Linked DNA regions of Arabidopsis thaliana. The protein of the gene in region 1 interacts with the protein of each later gene in a pairwise test. Each region holds a gene or a part of one and is shown in the gene's direction. Other genes may lie near its edges.

The links.
Region 2: the proteins of EXLB1 (region 1) and SLP1 interact in a two-hybrid assay, tested with the Arabidopsis thaliana proteins (one large-scale study listed by BioGRID).

What each region holds. Positions count from the first base shown.
Region 1 is NC_003075.7:9,581,062-9,586,396, reverse strand, and holds EXLB1 (expansin-like B1), read left to right. Parts: upstream 1-3,106; 5' UTR 3,107-3,215; coding exon 3,216-3,348; intron 3,349-3,694; coding exon 3,695-3,804; intron 3,805-3,935; coding exon 3,936-4,247; intron 4,248-4,382; coding exon 4,383-4,580; 3' UTR 4,581-4,835; downstream 4,836-5,335. Other genes in the region: AT4G17020 (transcription factor-like protein), read left to right, coding at 5,315-5,335.
Region 2 is NC_003070.9:2,143,968-2,160,545, forward strand, and holds SLP1 (Calcineurin-like metallo-phosphoesterase superfamily protein), read left to right. Parts: upstream 1-8,912; 5' UTR 8,913-8,981; coding exon 8,982-9,165; intron 9,166-9,228; coding exon 9,229-9,341; coding exon of another isoform or gene 9,342-9,356; intron 9,357-9,423; coding exon 9,424-9,456; intron 9,457-9,524; coding exon of another isoform or gene 9,525-9,536; coding exon 9,537-9,638; intron 9,639-9,782; coding exon 9,783-9,995; intron 9,996-10,084; coding exon 10,085-10,220; intron 10,221-10,306; coding exon 10,307-10,482; intron 10,483-10,579; coding exon 10,580-10,668; intron 10,669-10,751; coding exon 10,752-10,821; intron 10,822-10,914; coding exon 10,915-11,001; 3' UTR 11,002-11,271; downstream 11,272-16,578. Other genes in the region: AT1G06990 (GDSL-like Lipase/Acylhydrolase superfamily protein), read left to right, coding at 4,426-5,055, 5,183-5,444, 5,852-6,042; EXO70B2 (exocyst subunit exo70 family protein B2), read right to left, coding at 6,431-7,738, 7,847-8,338; AT1G07020 (uncharacterized protein), read right to left, coding at 11,352-11,788, 11,911-11,917; AT1G07025 (Mitochondrial substrate carrier family protein), read right to left, coding at 13,691-14,191; AT1G07030 (Mitochondrial substrate carrier family protein), read right to left, coding at 14,664-14,870, 15,784-16,557. UniProt on the Arabidopsis thaliana protein: Shows phosphatase activity, hydrolyzing the artificial substrate para-nitrophenylphosphate (pNPP) in vitro.

The sequences.
Region 1 (5,335 bases):
GACATATATTTTGTAATGTAAGTGCTTATAGTGGACTGGTATCTTCTGGTTTTGCATCCCCTTTAGTTCAAATAGTTACTTCCCATTTTCCTCTGTTGCTCTCTTAGGACCCATTTTTTAGTGATATCATTTTCATTGCCCATTACAAGAAACTTCACTATTGATGGCAGACACCTATAAAGGGATTATGCTCCTTCAGACACTAGAACTCATATCATTCGTTGTCTTAAACAAATGATTAAATCTCAAACCTTTGTATTCTTTGATTGTTTGCCTATTAACTCCTACCATTGATAGGTCTTGGTGATTAATAGCAATGATATACTACTTCTTATTCTATTGGCTTCTCCTTTTTAGAGTTTTACTTTGCTACGACATTATCATTATGTTATGACTTATATTTCTATTAGCTTCCTGTTTAAAATTTACTCTGTTATGACATTATCATTTTACTGTGTTTCTAAGGTTGGAGATCTTACCGCTGATCAAATGGGGAATCAGTGAACCATTCACCGGCACAGAACTGAGGTAAAGTCTGGAAAACATGTTAAAAAAGGTTACTAGTAATGCTGCAATTGTAGGGTTATTTGAACAGAAACAAACCCATATGTGTAGGCTTGTGAATGCCTAGAAACAGGATTGGTGTATCTTCAATATATGTTTCTAAGATGAATCAATTTCATATGCTGCTGTGTGTGTGTGTTACAAACCAATATGTTTGTGTTCACATGAAGCAAGAACGTGGTACCGTTTATGGAATTAGATGGAGAATCAATGAGCGATGACATAACGATAAATTGCACCAACCCCATTATCCTGTGATATTCCTTTTTCCTATGAAAAGTCCACACTTGTCATTAAACACGCAATGTTTTGTTGGACTCTACATGTCAACTGTTATAGTGACGTCATCGGTTCCTTACGTGCCGGCGAATACGAGTTCTTCCACTGGAGTAAGAACTAGCCAACCATGATTTAGAGTTAGGGTGTGCATTTATATCATAGCGAAACGTTGACAAGAAAATATGTTCTCTGCATTTCAAACTTAGGCTGATCTAAACCAAGGGTATACAATTTCTGTAACCCGACACCCAAAATATTGAATCAAATACTGATTCATGGTAAGTGCTTAAAAAGTTTAAATTGAGAGAGTCGAATAATTGAAAAGATTACTTTTTATCTTTCAAATTGATATATCTCATGATATTAATTTGAATTTTGGTAAAAGAAACTTTGTTGAAAATGTATTTGTGGTAGCGATAATGAGTTGTATACAAACATCAATTTCAATTGAATCCCATTCAAAAGAATATTATATACTCTCACAAATGGAATATATCTTTTTTCTAGGGAGGTAGGGAACTAGAAATTTCATCAAGTGGATTACAACCAAACCAACAACAAAAAGGTCTAATGAATTCTCTATTTCTATTCATATATACTAGACTTATGGTATCCTTTTGTCTTTCTCTTCTCCTAATCTCAGACTCTCAGTTACATATTAATAAGAAATTTATTTTATTCAAATACAAAAGGTAGGCTGCTGATAATATCCTACCACCCATTGTGTTACTCTTATTGACATCACTAAAATTAAGATATACACATTCAAGATCAACGGTTGCTTACGTGGTGTGTTTTAGTGTTTATCTTAGTTTGAACATCGAAATAATTTATATTGCATGGAATACTTAACTCAATTTATGAATTATAGAAAGTAAAGTTCTATTCTAGTTTGCCATATTATATCTATGCATAGGTTAGTACTAATATATAGCAACTAATGTGTATTTTTTAAGATGTTTTTTCTTTCACGCTTTTTATAGAGAAACACGTTTTTGTTTCACGTTGGAAACAGAATTCATTGGTAATACAACTGGCTTATCAAACACAAAGATCCTTAAATGTAGATACCGGATCCAAACTTGAACAACATGCTATTGAAGAATCTCTCTCGAAAAAATGACCAAAACTTGTTTTTTTATTTTGTTTTTTTCCAAGGAACCAAAAATCTAGGAAAACAAAATGTTAATCCAAACTATTTTCATTTTATATGATATTTACTCAAAAAAGAAAAAGACCAAAACCATGTTTTCTGTCCATATATTGGTTACAACTTGCAAACCCATGTCGTTATGCTATTTTACACAATCTTAATATTACTAAAATGCTAGTAGTGAAAAACAATAAAGGCTTAGTGATTCCAAAAAATAGCACGCTTGGCATATTCTATGAGTTCATTCATCCAATTCACCAAACAACTATCGTAAACCAATCTATTTACTATTAGGTGTCATGAACTTCTCGTTTTGGAGGCACAACCTATCCTTTTTCAAATAAATAATAGTCCCAAAAGCTATAAACCCCACCATTGTCTATTGCATTACATATTTTGGATATTTTATACAAATATCTACAGTAGTTTCAAAATATATAATCAATACAGGATGTCTACAAAGGGTTAGTAGCGATATAGCATCAACCAAAAATAAAGCCATAGCGCTATAATCTTTTTTTGTAGGAATGTAAAATTGTATTCATCCAAAACATGTTTTACAATTGAATGCCACATAGAGAGCTGATAACAGAAAGAAAGAGTGTATACTCCTATAAGAAACTAGAGTATTAGGAATTGATTTTCAGTGTTAAATGCATCTTTTATCTTTTCACTTGAAACTAGTTTGAATTTCGGTATGTGTTATACGGAAATGGAGATTATGCATCTATTGGAACTATGTTACCTCAATCTTCTGAGCTTTACAATGTTCACATACTTAATCTTCTAAAATACTACTATATTGATAATTCGATATCTAATACTCTCCTTAACTAATCTAGACTACAAAAATCAAAGAATAAATTGCGTATAATAAGAATCGACTTTTGAATCTACTGGGTTTATGCCAACCCTAATGCTATATTGGCAGATGTATGATGTAAACATTTAATTTAATACCAAGTTAAACTATATAAAAAAATTGAGTTAGCTTTAAGCTTTTTGCCAAGTGGAAAGTAAAAAATAGTGACGATGCTCGATCAATTGTATAATTGTAATAAGCACTCTAGCTGCAGCTATAAATACCCTACTAAGTCTCTCATCTATCTTCACTATCTTTTGTGATAAGAAATTCTATTATCAATTCCTATCATTTGTTAAGAAAAAGAGTTAGAAGTATTAATAATCTTACAATATTTATAGATAAGATAACAACAATATGAAGCATTCTCACGTTTTGCTTCTTCTATTTGTTCAAGTCATTGTCCTTTTGCCTCTCCTTTGTCTATCCGACGATTTTGTTAACTCTAGAGCTACTTATTATGGCAGCCCCGATTGCAAAGCAAATCCTCGTACGTATTAAAATTGTTATTGCTATATACATCGTGTACCTTAATTCTTTTTCATTTTCTTAGTTGTTGTATAGACTTGTACACGTTATATATTGGTAAAAGATACATTGGTGTAATATCTCACTATAAGCCATAACTAATTATTTTTGTTTTATATCTACGTATAGGTTTCTTGTTTTGTTTTATTTTGAAGGTTTATTCAAATTCTAAATACATATATGATTGAAAACGAGTCCACTAAGTGTCCATTAACTGCGTAATTAGTAATGATAACTTTCCATTATGAGAATATACATAATATTTGTCGAAAGAATAAGAATAATTAATTAATTTTTTGATGATGCAGGGGGACATTGTGGGTATGGAGAATTTGGAAGAGATATCAATAACGGTGAAGTGAGTGGTGTTTCATGGCGACTATGGAACAATGGAACTGGCTGTGGTGCTTGTTACCAGGTTATTATATATAGTTATCTACTTATCTCAATCAATATTTCATCAAATATTATTATAGTATATGCTATGTCATTAATTACTAAACTTATATTATGAAAGAAAAAAAAACTTATTTTATGAATTATAAAAAGGTGAGGTGCAAGATACCACCACACTGCAGTGAGGAAGGAGTATACGTAGTGGCTACGGACTCCGGAGAAGGAGATGGCACGGACTTCATCTTAAGCCCTAAGGCGTACGGACGTATGGCGCGACCCGGCACAGAAAATCAGCTCTACTCCTTCGGTGTAGTCAACGTTGAGTACCAAAGGATCCCTTGCCGATACGCAGGGTATAATCTGGTGTATAAGATCCATGAGAAAAGCTACAATCCTCATTATCTTGCCATCCTTGTCTTGTACGTTGGTGGTGTTAATGACATCCTCGCCGTTGAAGTCTGGCAGGTAAATTTAATCAAAGATGTTGAGAAACTTAGATATATGTTTTTGAGGATCAAAATATATAGTTTACTCTTAGATGATTTTGTGAAACAAAGTTAAACGTTATTATATGGTATGCATGTATATGTATGATTTTAGGAGGATTGCAAAGAGTGGAGACGTATGAGAAGAGTGTTTGGAGCGGTTCATGATTTGCAGAATCCACCTAGAGGCACTCTCACATTGAGGTTCTTAGTCTACGGAAGCGCAGGAATCAATTGGATCCAATCGCCAAACGCTATTCCCGCTGATTGGACTGCCGGAGCCACCTACGACTCCAACATTCTACTTACTTAATTGATTCACTTTTCATCAGTGTGTTTTTATCATATAGTATTTATTATGGTTTCTGTATGCAATGGCTAATATATTTAAATAATGCCCTCTAGGACAATATAATTAATGATGATAATATAAATAATCGTAGTAGATTCATATATAATTTATGTATTGTGTCTCACTAAGAAGATTGTAATGGTTTGTATGAGTTTGATTTTGATGGAATAAATCAGTACTAATCAATTTATCAGATGATGATCAAACGTTTCGTAAGCTTTTTTTGTTTACATTTTGGTCAGTCAAGCATATATCTCTCCCTAATCAACCATTTTCATGAAAACAAATTGGCGCGATTTTTGTTATATAGATAGGCCCATTAGTAGTATTCACAAGGCCCATTAAAACTTAATTTATCTTGGCCATCCTCTTCGATCGATTTCGTCAGTTTTCTTTGATTCTGGGTAGTAAATAATCGGGATCAATTGTAGAAGAGCTCATCGAGAAAAGAGAGAACCTAAACTTTAAATTCAATTCTGTATTGTTCTCAAACTCGAACCCGAAACTTTAAATCCTTCCTTATTTGTTTTCTGGAGTTCTTGTTTAGAACTGTTTTGGATTTGTTTTTTTTGAGGAGATGCTTTAGTTAACTAGGTTTGCTTCGAGCTGATCGCTGTGTGGCATAAACCCTAATTTCGTGGAAACTGTGCTCTTTTAGAACCGGTCCAGTGAGTAAGGGAATCCAATTGGTGAAGATGCCGCAAGTTAAGATCATT
Region 2 (16,578 bases), on another chromosome or scaffold:
TATTATTATCTAAGTTATGGCTATTGTTTGAATTTACTCAAAACTATATAAATTCCTATCTCACTAATCATATAGGCTCTTACCCTTAAAAGTATGATAACGTCATAAGACCGTTGAATTTTTTTGATGTGAATTCAACTATTCAAGACCAAGAAAACATAAGTTATATACACACATAAATCTGTTTCGATTTGTTAGCCACTCCAAATCAGTCTGAAACATCCTGATAACTGCAAGTCCGTTATTAAATTTACAAAAACAAACACAAATATTTAAAAATATTACTAAAGTTCGAACTTCGAAACAGAGTAAAGTTACATTAATCTTTATATACATAGATTCTTAGATCTCTGAATTGAAACTCTGATGGAGACTATAATAGTAAATAATTATGACGAAATAAGTCGAGTAAAGATATTATAAGGCTAGCTATGTGACAAATTTTGAAGGAGAGAAAATGACTTTTTTCTGGTATTCGTTCTCGAATAATACCAAATCTTGAAACTAGGAGCGTGTTGGGATTAGATAAATTACTCGTAATTAATAATGTGAAACAATGACCAAAGACTTGGAAACTGAAAAAGGATTATCTATTTAAATTTAAAGGGTACTTTACACTACGAATACTTAAGTAGGATTTGATATCAATGTTGGAAGTAACGAATCCATTATTTTTAACTCAAATAAGTTTTTTCTCGTTAGTATTCAGAACTACATTTTCTCGTTGTATGTGCTCAAGCTACTTCACTTTTGGAGATATAAATATATGTTGAACAATGAAGATTTCGATGTGTATATATAAATAGAAAAATAGAAGTACAGAGAATAAGAAGAACTCATAGATGTATACTTTTTGAACGGTTTTAGGAATCCATACGTACAATTTAGTTGAGTTTACTACTTGTTTCGTATTCTAGAATCTCCAAAATTATATTTTTGGTTAATTCCATACTTTGGGTCTTAATTGGGAAAGTAATTTTGGCCATTTTCTTAAGTGAATAATTCAATTTGGTTAGGGAGAAGACTAAGACGCCCTCATATGGTCTCTTCATTATTCATTTCCAAAAAAGTATCTGCTAATTAAATTTATTAAGCAATACAATACAATCAAATGCATAATGTTTACTTTATACTTTTAATGTTCAAGCATCGGTTGAACGAGTTTAAAATTAAATAAAAGAAGGAAAATAGTTTTTTTTTTAAAATTAATTCCTGAAAAGGAAAACAGCTGTCTTGAAGGACAAAACAATATTATGAAAATGTATTTTTCCTTAATTCGCTTATACATATTGATATATTCGTTTACGTTGTTATTTAAATGATATAACCCATAATAGCACTGACAAATATAGAAACCATTAATTTAAGTATGTTTATTTATAGTAGTATAAAACTTGAGTTACTTAAACTATTGTGTTGCTTTTAAGAGTTTCTGTTAATGATATGATTCTCGCACTAATTAAAGTCAATACCGTACGTACGTAATATGTACTTAACTAAGGTATCTGCAACTTGCGGGGCTTAAGTACTTATGCAGTTGAAGACCCGTTGGTTTTGGGGTTTAATGAGTAATTAAGCTTACTTGATTAAGCAAGAGAACTGGATCAGGGGACAAGTAATCCACAGGACCACATCAATACTTATGTACTTTTAAAGTTGAATAAATATAATTATTGAATGCGTCATATAAGAGCGCGTAAACCGAAATCGATTATTTACTGGCTTAGAAAATAGAGGAGCTCAGTCTTTAAATTCTAAGTTAGAATCTGAATGTGAAATAATATGGTTCTCACAGTGTATTCACGTGCCTAAAATTTAATTAGTAATTGTTGAGGTTGTAGTTGCACATAGATATAACCATTCTATGTTGTGATTCAATATAAGTTGAATTACAAAGATGATGCTAAATGCTTTTTGATATATACTTTTATGGCAAGATAGTATTTTACGTGTTAAAACATGTATATCCTTTCATGGTTTAGGATTTAACAGAATTATTCTTCTAATATTATCAAGCAGTAGAAACAATTGTCATTTTCAATTTTTTCCTGTCTTTTTAACTCTTTTATTTCTCATTTATTCAATTATCTCATAACAAATTATTCCGATTTAAAAGTTTATTTTCTATAACATCTTCTCCGAAAAAAAGATTTAGTAGAAAGCATTGTGAACAACCAATGATTACTGATCAACTAAAATAGCATTATAAGAGAATGTATTAATTAAACAAAATAAATCTGGTGGCAGAAAATAAATCTTGGAAACGAATTATAACGCGCGACATGAAAGAAGAAGCTTCGTTGTACGGAGGTTTCAAAGCACCGACGACGTACGATAGGCGCCGAAAACATAAATTAATGGGAGATTAAATTCCTGAATTGATTTGTTTAATCAGAGAATGGCCAAAACACAGATGAGATTTTGGGTGTGTGTGCGCCACAATGTGTTAAAGACTAAATCTTTCTTACGAATCTTAAAAAAGGTTTAATGAGATCATAATTGAAGAACGTGAGCCAAACCTGTCTTGTTCCACAATTTCACAACTTTCACGGTGGATTGTTAATTAACCACTTAATCAAGTTTGCACTATTTAAAAACTTATTTTACAAAGCATTAATTGTCAATTTCTTCCCTCTTTTCTCAATTATCCGAATACATTATTAATCCAGAGAATATGCAAATGTAATTATATAATTGGGGAATATAAGTTATGATAAGTATAACTGGCGTCTTTGGGTTCAAATGTTATTTTGTAGCTCCATTTACAAGCTTCGAATTCTAGCTCCATTTCCTCTCATTCTACAATCTATACGTAAGGAGTATTATTTTGTAGCTCCATTTACAAACTTCGAATACTAGCTCCATTTCATCTCATTCTACAATCTATACGTAAGGAATATGGAAATTAAACATGTCTTTTATAACTGGAAAGTACGTAAGGAATACGAACTCAGTGCTTTCACAATCTCCACATTGGCCTTATGTCTAACAGGGTGATTCAAACTATTTTTGAGAATTTGTATATATAAAAAGTGAGGTATTCCTGTTATTTAACTTTATACAATTATAAGAACTAATCATGATTGAAATTGCTGTCAAATGATTTGAAGCCTATATCATGCTTTTTTAGGATCAATCACTTGAACATTAAGAGTTGGTAAGAAAGTATGAAACATTAATGAATATAAAGTATATAGCATGGTCAACATTTTCACAAGCATTTCATTTTTTAATAACATTCATTATGTTATTAATACTTATTCTCCCAACGCCGAGGAAGATTTCATTTTAGCAACACTTTTTTCTAAAACCAACGGAAATCACTAGTAATTAGTATTATAGTATAGATTATGGGATGAATTGGTGTTTTAGGGGGAACGTACCTGATCGAATAAAGACAAACCAATGCAATAATTAAAATTCTTAGCATAGATATTAGAGATCTTTCCAGCCTACAACACACGTTTGTTTAGATTTTCCCTCGTGTGCAATATCTTTTTGTTTTGGAGCCTAAATGATTTTCGTAATCTTAATTGATCTCCTCCTGCACGAACTTCTATACCAAACTCGTTTCCGTGTTTGGACTTTTTTTGTTTGTTTGGCAGCGTGTTATTACTTAGGAGAATCTAGTTTTTTAAGAGATTCTACCAAGATATATACGTTAACATAACAACCACATAAATATACATTATTGGTGTATAATCTTTTGCATGATCTCGTGGGTTTCCTTCTATGTACATATTTTAACGTTTCAGAAGATAATATGTGCATGCATTAATTCTTTTGGTTGTAACGCTATTATTAATCATTTATCAACTACTGTCTCACTATACAATTACTCGACCATATAATTTCTATCTATTTTTTTTTATGATTGATATAAAAATACTCTTAAATGATTGAATGACAGTATGTCTGTGATTTTTGTAGATGAGTTCGGACAAACATATATTGGAGTCATGGAGTGGGGGTATGAAGAAGAAAGAAGTCACTCTGAATCTCTGATGTTAAAGACTGAAGATGGGTTTTTGTGGCTTAGAAAGTTGAAAGCTGTCAAAAAAGAAAAATAATGAACTTGTGATACATTCATACATATTGCGACAAGATTAATCTAATTAAAAACGAAAGTAAGTAAGAGTTTTAACAAACAACTCTCAAATTCAAAACTCAGGCGTCAGCAAAATTATCTATTTTAAGCTCTAGAAAGAAAAGAAAAAAAGCTCAATACTATGGGCTCTCTATAAAGCCCATTTGATTGGCCCATTAAAACAATGGCCATGAGTTTTTGCCTAAAATGTCAACAGTTCAAGGGGATTATTTTTTATTTTAATATGAGACATACATTACATATAGTACTAGTAGACTCCAATAATCAACCGAGTCGTCCTATAAAGGGAAGAAAGAAAAGAGAGAAGAAGAGACAAAATGTTGATCCATGTAATTATATTCATGATCATAACGACAATGCAATTCTCGACGACATGCCATGCATATGTGATTAACGTGACCAACGTTAACGTATCAATGTTCCCGGCTATTCTTGTATTCGGGGATTCAACAATCGATACCGGCAACAACAACTACATCAAAACCTACATCCGGGCTAATTTCCCTCCTTACGGCTGCAATTTCCCCGGCCACAACGCTACCGGAAGATTCTCTAACGGTAAACTTATTCCGGACTTCATAGCATCTCTTATGGGAATCAAAGACACCGTTCCTCCTTTCCTAGACCCTCACTTGTCTGATTCCGATATCATCACCGGAGTGTGCTTTGCTTCGGCTGGTTCCGGTTACGACAACCTCACAGATCGAGCAACTTCAACTCTATCCGTTGATAAACAGGCGGATATGCTCAGAAGTTACGTGGAGAGGTTGAGCCAGATCGTCGGGGACGAGAAAGCGGCCTCGATAGTCAGCGAGGCTCTGGTGATTGTAAGCTCCGGAACTAACGATTTCAATCTAAATCTCTACGATACTCCTTCTCGTCGTCAGAAGCTTGGCGTTGATGGCTATCAAAGCTTCATTCTCTCGAATGTACACAACTTCGTTCAAGTAAACAATCCTATTAAACCATACATATGGTTTTTAATTATAGAATTATTTTATTTTATTTTAATTTCTTTTCCATATTTTGGTTTCGACAATGTTAATTTTGTGTTGTTGATGTATATTATTATAGGAACTATATGACATTGGATGCCGTAAAATAATGGTGTTGGGTCTACCGCCGGTCGGGTGTTTACCAATTCAGATGACAATGGCTATGCAAAAGCAGAACGAGAGACGATGCATCGACAAACAAAACTCAGATTCACAAGAGTTTAACCAGAAGCTAAAAAACTCCTTGACGGAGATGCAATCCAACCTCACTGGAAGTGTCATCTTCTACGGCGATATCTACGGAGCATTGTTCGACATGGCCACTAATCCTCAAAGATACGGTAACGTTACGTTTCCTTTACTCCCATGCAAATAACGTTTCGCACTAAATCTAGTTTTCCTTGAGTTTTGATCAATTGCATCTCTTTCTAGATTATATTGTATTTGGAAAAAATATATTTGAGGTTGTTATATTGGATCATTTAAAAAAGATATTGCATAAATGCAAAATAAGAAAAAAGAAATCAATCAAACCCAAAGCATAATCCAATTTTCTCCGCACAATTCTCTCATATTAGTATATATCACATACGTGTGAAGTGCATGTATTTTACAGGATTTTTACTGATAATTTTTTTTACAGGTTTTGAAATTATAGTTTGTTATAAGAGAACATTCAAGACTATAAAATATTTCATTTTATTACAAAGCTAAGTAGTTATCAATGTTATTCCTTTGAATGGGACAGGGTTAAAGGAGACGACGAGAGGATGTTGCGGGACTGGAGAAATAGAGTTAGCGTACTTGTGCAATGCTTTAACTCGGATTTGTCCTAACCCTAACCAGTACCTTTTCTGGGACGATATTCATCCTTCCCAAATTGCTTACATAGTCATCAGTCTCAGTCTTGTTGAACAAATTTTCCACGTACTCTCTTGATTTTCATTTTGCTTTCATATATATTAATTAATCTGTAGTCAATCTATAATTATTTCCCTGTGGGTTCACATAATCTTTCGTATTTGCTTAAGCTAGGTTTTACATGTATACTATTATGATATTATACTACTCTATCCTGGTAAGTTGTAACTCTATAGCACAATGCTCGTAAGTCCGTTTTGAAACCCAAACGAATTATATTTTAACCTTAAGGAAATTTCTTACATCAAAAAAGCAATACATGAACAAATCAATGTCGAAAAGGTGATTCCACCGATCCATGAACATTATTCACCCAAGAAAGATAAAAAAACACAGAATGATTCACAATTTTACAAAAAAATTCAATTAATAAGAATTTTTTAATTTCTTTTCATATCTAATTTAATCAACTTGAGCTTTCCTTGAACAACCGTTTGATTATAAACTCCACATCTTCAACAGTATACGGAATAAACGGCTCTCCACGCCTCCCATTAATCTCCGGTGACTCCTTCAATCTTCTGATGAAATTCGAGTACGCCGGAGATACAATTCCGGCAACAGAGCTTCTTAACTCCTCCCTCAATTGCCCATCACTAACAACCCATTGAGATTGCACCTTACACACCTCATCGAACTGTGATTTGAACAATCTTAGGTTCTCTACTAACTTGGGATACGGACCATCGGTCCTAAGCAATCCCACCACTTGGTTCCATGAGCTCCTTCGGTAATTAGAATGGTATTGCCTCAGTTTCGCTGCGTGCTTCACAATCCAATCTTCTCCTAGGACTAAACCTAGCTCGTTATCCTTAGCCTTATCAAGAATATACTTGTCATTGTTCATCATGAACAAGAAACACAAAGACGGATCACGATAAGTTCTTTTCTTGCCTTCCAAGTTACTCTCCAACAACTCCAAAACCCATATGATTTGCACAGACAACGGTCTCGTATCTGATCCGGTTTCATTTCCTGTCTGGTCAAGTATCTGCTCCAACGATTGCCGCGATTTACACGCCGCACGCAGATAATTCATCACGTACCGCGTGATCGGGTGAATCCCACCGCCAGGAAACGCTGTTTTGGGAGGGTCACGTCGGATTAAATTCTCCAGCTCCATAAATATCCCTCTAATCGCTTCTCCTAACCGTTTATGAATCGCGAGCGCCTCATGCCTTAGCGGCGAACAATATCGATCAGAAAATAGCGTTTCCATCTTAGGAATAAGGTCTTGCATCGCTTCGTATAAATCCACAACCTTAAACAAACGTTCAGGTAAACGGCTTCCTAAAGCGATCGCGTCTGCGAAATTCAGAAGCTGTGTTGTGGTTCCGCGACAAACTTCCATGAAAGAAAGATCGGTTACAGAGGAAACAGGAAGATCAGAGAAAACGCGATCGCAGAGAAGACGCTCGCTCGGGAAGAAAACGTGGAATATCAGCGTTACGGCTTTAATCCAACGGTCGATTTCGTCTTCAAGATCTTGCCATGGACTCTCTTGCACTTCCTCCATACTTAGTCCTCTGAGATGTAACCTCGACAAACTCTCCTCTAGAAACTCTCTTCGTCGACTGCTGTACACTCTTGAACACTCTTTTGCAAATCCACCAGCGACCATGCGCACAGCGATCGCGTTTAGATCGCCAATAACGCTAGATTGTAACGCCTCGATCACGATTTTGTAATCAGTGATTGGACGAGCAACGATTACCTATTCAATTGTGAATCACTTAACCACAATATAACCGATAGTAAACCGAATTTTCTAATTCTAATTCCAAAACTAATTTAGTAATAAATTTACAGATGAATTAATTACCCCGTCGCTTGTGTCGTTGTCTTCTTCGCCGGGGAACTCATCGTCCGAGTCAAACGAGTCAGGGGCTCGGTCCATTACAAATCCAAACTCTTCTTGAAGCCTAAACATCACCTGTTGAATCAGCTCATCGGCACGGGATTGACAGACGGCGACGGATTTATCTCCGGCCATGGATCTCAAGTCTCCGGCAATCGCAAGTAGCTCATCAACAGAGTCGAGGAAGGTGCGCGAGTCAACGGGATCAGACCAGATCGGTCGATCTTCCACGATGTAGCTGGAGATCTGTCTCTCTAAAGAGGTGAGGGCTCGGTCAAAGTTGACGTTTGAGCCGCCGCGGGATGGGGTGGGTCGAGGATCTCCGCCGCGGTTTCCGGAAGCGCCATAACCGGAGAGAATCTGTAAGATATCTCCGGCGGCACTTGGATCCTTGCCGAGAGCTCTGGCGATGTCTCTGGCGGCGGCGTAAAGATTCTCGTCACCGGCTTCAGCCATATGATTGGATGGGAATTAATAATGTTCGGGGAAATTACGGAATTGGTGGAATTGGGAGAATAAAGACGAAAATCCATAGACGAAGACTATAATATTGACAAAGTCTTCGGAGATTAAACGCGGGAACCATGTCTGACTTAGTTGTGTGCTTCTGTTTGTATTTTAATGGAATCTGTAATTTCTTAGTGCCACGACCACGACTTTGTCTTCGTTTCGATTTTTCTCTTTTGGTTCTGTCTGGTTTGATGTTTACAGAACGTGAACGCAATTTAACAACCGCGTTGTGCGTTTGGTCATCATGGAAATTGGTTATGGGCCGATGACTTCGTTACGTTGAATTTTCGGCGTCCAGTACACTTGGGCTTTAGATGGCCCAATGGACATATTATTCATTTTTGGGATCGATAAGTTTGATAAGGTTGAGAGGCCCAATTTTTGTCTTTGTGGTTATCTTTTATTTTATTAAAAACAGAAAAACCAAAAATTGAGAGGAAAAACCTCAGCCAGTAGATAGATAAAAGGGATTTGATTACTGAGCATGCAATTGGAGACAAGTCACACAAATTATAGACCAGACGAACACAAATGTTAAGTGATTTCATCAAAGCTCTGGTGGATCATTGCTTCTCCACCACCAATACCAATGGCTTCCCTTTACCTCAATTCCTTACTTCCACTTCCTCCTTCTCACCCCCAGAAACTTTTAGAACCTTCTTCTTCCTCTTTGTTGAGCACTTCTAATGGTAACGAACTTGCTCTGAAGCCGATTGTCATCAATGGAGATCCACCCACTTTCGTCTCTGCTCCTGCTCGTCGTATCGTTGCAGGTTCGCCACCATTAATCTGAAAAGTTTCAATCTTTTTGATAATTTGACAACAAAATTGAGTAGGTTTTGGTTTTGGATATGCACTCACAGTTGGAGACCTTCATGGCGATCTGGGTAAAGCCAGAGACGCACTTCAGTTGGCTGGCGTCTTGAGCTCCGACGGACGAGACCAGTGGGTCGGCCAAGACACCGTATGTACATTATCTCTTAGTGGTTCAGTATCGTGTTAAATGGTTTGCTTGATGATATTATTGACAGTATCTGCTAGAGTTCAACATTACGCATCTTGAGGTTCATTATGATGACTGATTCTTTTGAGTTAAATGCTTATGAGTTGTGAAATCATAATGAAAATACAGGTACTAGTTCAGGTAGGAGATATACTTGATCGCGGTGATGATGAAATCGCAATACTCTCCTTATTGAGGTCACTTGATGATCAGGCCAAGGCTAATGGTGGAGCTGTTTTCCAGGTTTTTGATTGCTATCATACTTGAATTTCATAAGTAAATTTTACACAGAGAAGCTTTTGCACTCTACACATTTTAATTTGCTAGTTCTAGAATGATGATAATTGATAGGACTAACAAAGAGTAACTTCTTGTCACATTTTAAAGGTTAATGGGAACCACGAGACAATGAATGTTGAAGGGGATTTCAGATATGTAGATGCGAGAGCATTTGATGAGTGTACTGATTTTCTTGACTACTTGGAGGACTATGCACAAGACTGGGACAAAGCGTTTAGGAATTGGATTTTTGAGTCAAGACAATGGAAAGAAGATAGGAGGAGTTCTCAAACCTATTGGGATCAATGGAATGTAGTAAAGGTACTTCATTTTGCCTTGTCCTCTCTGAGTTTTCTTAGTTTTTGTATTCGTTGGTTAACCAAAAGTCGGTGGGAAAACCATTAGGACAGAGGCAAAAGGGAGTAATTGCAAGGTCGGTCCTTCTCAGACCAGGTGGTCGTTTAGCATGTGAATTGTCGCGTCACGGAGTTATTCTCCGTGTTAATAACTGGCTCTTCTGCCACGGTGGTCTCCTTCCTCACCATGGTAAGGACAGTCAAATCTATCTCAACATTTCCTCTCGGTGATCTTTTGGATTTGATATATCATATGCTTATAATGTCCTTGCACAGTTGCATACGGCATAGAGAGGATAAACAGAGAAGTCTCTACTTGGATGAGAAGCCCTACTAACTATGAAGACAGTCCTCAGATGCCGTTCATTGCGACTCGAGGATATGACAGTGTAGTCTGGAGCCGACTTTACTCAAGAGAGACTTCTGAGCTTGAGGACTATCAAATTGAACAGGCAAGTAGAATTTTAATCACCAAAATCTCAAAACTGCTAAGACAGATATCATCATCAGCTTGGTTTAATGTGTTTCCTGACTTCTTTTTCTTATCAGGTAAATAAAATTCTTCACGACACTCTTGAAGCTGTAGGTGCCAAAGCGATGGTGGTCGGGCATACTCCCCAGTTATCAGGGGTTAACTGGTACATTTATCAAACTCAACCCCAAAACTTGTAATAGAGAAACTTCACGACAATCTTGAAACATGAGTTTTTGTTGTTGATAGTGAATATGGTTGCGGCATATGGAGAGTTGATGTAGGAATGTCCAGTGGTGTTCTTGACTCTAGACCAGAGGTATCTAGCAATATTGGTTCTTGACTCGTCGCGTTTCATGTCTTTCTTACATAAGTCCACACAGAGATTCTGAAACTGGAATTGTTTCTTCAGGTTCTGGAGATAAGAGGGGACAAAGCTAGAGTAATAAGGAGCAACCGTGACAGACTTCATGAACTTCAGGTTGCAGATTACATTTAAAAAAAAGAACCAGACTCTCATGTTCAAGATTCAAACTTTATCACCGTATTTGTCATCATACACATAATAAAGCATCAGAAGGTTTCAGTCTTTCAGACAAGGTCCAGATGCAGTTGAGCGAGGCCATACTTTGAACTCTATGTACGTATCTATGTATATATGTGTGTGAATCATCAGATACAACATACTATACTCATCAAGTAAAGGTTTTGTATAGCAAAAACACTGGTTAGTGTTACTTAAAGAGTGGTGAAATTCTCTGGTTTTTATATTGAATGTTTAAAAGAAGTCACATTGAACAACATTGAGAAAGATCTTAAACGAAAACAACTATCGAGATTGGAGAAAGCTTATTGAGAAGTGGTTCTCAATCTTCGAAGCTGATCAATCCAACGATCCTCATTAACATCGGAGGCCCAATCAGGAGCCGTTCCAGGGAATGAGATGGCTCGCATTGCCTCCATAACCCTAACGGCATTCTCCTCCACTAACGGCGATCTTCTCCGCCGTTCGTCCTCCTCAAACGCTCTACGGATCTCCGGTCCAGTCTCCGTCTCTGTCTCTTCTTCGCTGTCTGTGTTATCGTTTATACTAATAGAAGAGATTCCTACCTCTGCATCCGGAATCATACAATGGCCGTTAGAGAGACCATCTCCACCGATCGGAAGATAACTGTCTTCTTCATCGTCGTTGGAGTTATATAAATCGACGGCTGAGATCGGTTCGTAATAGTCTTGTGAATCTTCGACGGAATTAGAGTCGGAATCGCTCCCGGCGTTGTTGTTCTCTGCAAATAATGCATCCGGTTAACGAATTAAGCAGATCTCAATTTCCAAAAATCCGAAGAAACAAATGTGTCTTACGGATCCTCATAAGAATTAAACAGAAGAAAAAGGAGAGTAGAAGAACCTTCCATAGACCCTTCGATGGGATCAATCACCTGGAGACGAGAGATGTCGGAGGTTGAACTGAAAAAGACGATGAAGTTGTTGAACTGAAAAAGACGATGAAGTTGTTACACGGATTGAGACGACTGAGTTGACTCGGATTACCAGATCCATATATATATATATATAAGCCCATATTAAAAGATGCCCACTATATGAGGCCCAAACATGAATCAAAGTCAGGACCTTAGTTGCATCGGCTGGAACTTGAAACAGACACAAATTATCCGAGTGTGAGATATCAAATATACGAATTTGACGGAGTTGCGATATTCCAGAAACATCAAAGCTTTTAAAAAAAAAAAGAGATCGGGAGTGTGGCGTTATCAACTGAGAATTCAGAAGGATGCGAAGGACCCAACCTACGCTAAAGCCAATTTTATCACAGCTTAGATGCACCAGCCGGGAATCAAACGTACTATTCTACCACTAGACCACTGGTGCTTATTGTTTAGTTTTTATATTTGTGTAAAACAAATAGAGGAGAACAAATCAAGATAAACAAAGCTTAATTTAAAAACTCGGTAGTTGTTGTGATATCGATTCGCTGTCCCATCCGTTTGATCTTTATCAGGCCGTTCTGAATCGCCGTTGAGGTCCTGAAAGAAAGATTTGGCCGCCTCGTAAGTGGACCAACATATGGCTGTTGCTGATGCATGGATGAACATTCTGGGGAGGCATAAACCCTTCATATTTCACAAAGGATACGAACACATGGCTCAATGAAACCCTAGTGACATGCTGCACATGACCAGATAAGTTATAAGAAGAAGAAGAAGAAGAAGAAGATCATAGGCTATGTCTGGCCTGGTCGATTAGTTAGTTACACACATCTTAAAATCATTTTGTTTATATTTATGCCTTGATTGTCTACTTTTGTTTTTGCTTTTACATTGTGAGCGTGCGTGTGTGTTTTCCTTAAATAATCCTCCAATGAAATGTTCAGATGTGGGTCAATCACCTTAGAAGGGCCCGTCGGCTGAGAAAGCGTCATAGCTACAATACCAAGCGGCCAAGTCAGAGCAACTGCCAATCCACCGGCGGTGGCTCCTGCGGTGGCATGAACCAACCACCAATTCTTCTTTTTCGGTGATATCTCTATCAGTTTCCTCTTGGCTGCCTCCTATGTCACGAAATGAACAGCAGAAGAATACACATATATCCGAATCCCCGTTCTGTAAAAAGTGAAGAACTTGTTAGTGCACCCCTCTATCAGGACAAACCAGAAGGAGTGCTGATTGCTGGAACAAGCTGGAAGCTGTTTCAGAAGACTAAAGTGAAGATCAAGTAATTGATGCTGACGTGGATATGCCGCCAAATGAACGAATGACGTGGAGATCACAACAGGATGAGTTCAGTTTGGAGAGGAGATATTCATGCGAAGATTTGGAGTGATCCAAGATCTCGAACGCTAACCTAGAAGACCAAAGACCTCGATAGTATAAATAGAGGTGCTAAGGTTCTTGTTAGACGGGGCCGTGATTGTGAGTGAAAAGCTAGTGCAACGCTTTTCATTATTAGAGACTAAGGTTTAGTCTGATTGGAATTCTAGAGAGATCAAAGAGTGTGTTCTTGTGATCTGCTCTTGTGTGTTTAAGGAAATCTCAGGTGACAAGCTAAAGTAGTTTAGATCTTGTGTAAAACCAATTAAGGTAGTTGTAAACTTCTTAATCAGATTTCTAATAAAGTGATACTCAGTGGTTCTGAGTTTGGGGAATACGATTCTTGGTTCATCCGGAATTTCAAAACTTACTGATTCCTTCCTCATGAGTCACCCTTTTGGCGCAATCCCAGACGCCTTTGTAGTTACCGAACCCATTTTGGTGCCTCAGCTTCGCCATATCAACAGGAGTTGAAACGGCATAACTCCATACAGCCGTGAAGGCCCAGGAAATCACGTGCACCACGGGGTTGTTTGGATTCCCGGTAGACAAGAAATTCTTGGATACATCGTAGAAGGAGAAATGTACGAATTGAGCGGGTCCCATGGCTCCATGCCTCATATACCATATCCCACGGTACAGAGCCGATGGTCCTTCCGTTTGGATTACCGAACGCAGAGCCTGCCGGATTCCGACATGTCTTTGCGAATACGAACGATGCAGCATACGTTGATCCAAGGTGCGAACAGGAAACATCGTCATGTTCTTAAAGGAACCAGCAACTGAACCTGCAATCATCAACTGCCACAACTGGAGGTCTTGTTCCTTAAATTTTGGTGCCGTTGAATCTTCCACCGCCATGTTGGGAATGTTTGGAGCATTGAAGCTACGACGATACAAAACCTGAAGATTACCTCGCAAAACTCTAACCAGAGAATCTCGGAGACTAGAATTAAAGGCGCAGATTGGAGACAACTCATGTGGATCGTGCTCTACACTTTCTCTAGTTACTTATTTTTCTCCAACTCATGTGAATTAGTCCATGATGCAAAAGGAGTTGAATGTTCCTCCAAAAGCATTTATTTTTCTCCAAATTGTCTAGTACGTGTAAGATATATGTATGCCTCGTTAAGTTATTATTAGAAATTTGGAAGGAACATAGTTTTGTACAACTCTAATCAAAATTTCTCGACGACATTATCATCAACACAAACCTGGAAAATATATAATCTAAAAATGACTTCATAGAAAACCTGAGAAAACTATGTTACAAACAAATAAGAAAAGCAGGATCCTCAAGAGTGTGAAATAGCCTAACCCTTTTGTCTTTTTTTCAGGCAGTGTTTGAATCGACATTGAAGTCTTGAAAGAAAGATTTAACTCCTTCATAAGTGGACCAACAGATTGCTGCTGCAGGAGCATGGAAGAGCATTCTCGGGAGCCATCCCCTTAGAAGTCCTCTGTATCCATCTTTTTTCACTATCGTTCTAAGTACATGGCTAATAGAACTACTAGTGAAGCGGTCACATCCACACACACCCTGCACATTAACACAGATGATTGAGGCCATATTTTACACATTTTATAGCAAAGAAATCATGGACATTGCTCTTAAACTTTATGCTAGGTCAATAAGAGTTTTGCAAAAGATGTCTAAGCTCTATCAAGAAACACTAATATTCCAGATGCACAACTACAAATAGTCAAAAACATTTAAGCGGAGGATATACAAGTAAAAACATTTAAGCGGAGGATATACAAGTACTATGCACTAGAAAGCCTTAACATATCTCGAAATGCTAAAGATTCTACAGCTAGACCTGAAATTATTTGACCCCTCCCCATCTTTCACACCTCATAAGATCACATTTGAAACGAAACAAATTAAAAACTTTTCCTACATTCAATAAATGCTACACTAAGACAGAATTAATGATAGCTCAACCACGAAATGTCATTACCTGAAACCCTTAAACACACTCTACCTCAAACTTACTGGTAAAAACATTGAAACCAAATAACCACTCTTCCTACAACGGTAGCTCTATACTAGTGTCAAACCGTGATGAACATAAAACCGCAACCACAAAATTATGCTGCAGCTCTAGCACATGATTACCATCTGCCAGTAGTCCTGATAGCTCTTTTTACACAAACCACTATTCACAAAATACAACATCTAACCACACAAGGTGAAACAAGTCCATCTAAGAAGCTTTAGACCTTCACATAGACTCGAAATCCAACACAAATGCATCAACTCTCGAGACTAAAAGCATCATTTAAAGAAGCATTCTGCAGCACTACGCACACATAAAAGCATAACACATATACCGTTTACTAGTAACACTAACACCACTGTGTACCTAATCACATCGCCAACATTATTCTAGCCAAAGATGTAGAGATTAGAGACAAAGAGCAACCAATCCTAGAGAGAAGGAATCATTCACCTGACATTGCAACTGCGTCTTGACAACATCAAGCGGCGTAGTCACAGCAGCTGCCAATCCACCAGCAGCAGCTCCAGCGGTAGCGTGAACCAACCAACCTTCCTCATCACTAATTCTATCCGGCGAAAACTCCATCAATCCCTTCTTAGCAGCCTCGTAAGTGGCAAAGTGAACAGCCGTAAACGGCGCGTTCATCAGAACCGTCGTCCTATAAGAAGCATAAAACGCACCAATCCCTTCCTCACGCAAAACCCTCTTAACACAATCCCAGACTCCTTTATAAGTCCCTTCACCCATCTGCAACCTCTGCTTCACCATATCCATGGGAGTGAAAACAGCATCGCTTGATATAGTAGCGAATACGCCGGACATCGCATGCGCGACGGAATTGTTCTGATCCCCGGCGGATAAATACTTCTTCGATACTTCATAGAATGAGAAGTAAACGGCGTGAGCAGGTCCAGCGCCGAGACCCATAGCCCAGATCCCGCGATACAGAGCTGAAGGTCCTTCCTTTTGGATAATCGAACGGAAAGCTTCCCGGATTCCGACGGGTTTTAAGGGACATGGTCGAAGCGCTTGCATATGGGTCTTGATGGTATCGACGGGAAACATCGCCATGTGTTCGACGGAGCCAGCAATCGAACCAGCAATCATAAATTGCCAGAACTTAAGACCATCGTGAGCGATTTCCGGTTTGAAATCCGGTGTCTGAGAAACCTGCCGGAGATCAGGTTCCTGGAATTTGGGTACGGTTGTAGCCTCCGTAGCCATTTAGGGATTGGGGCGTAGATC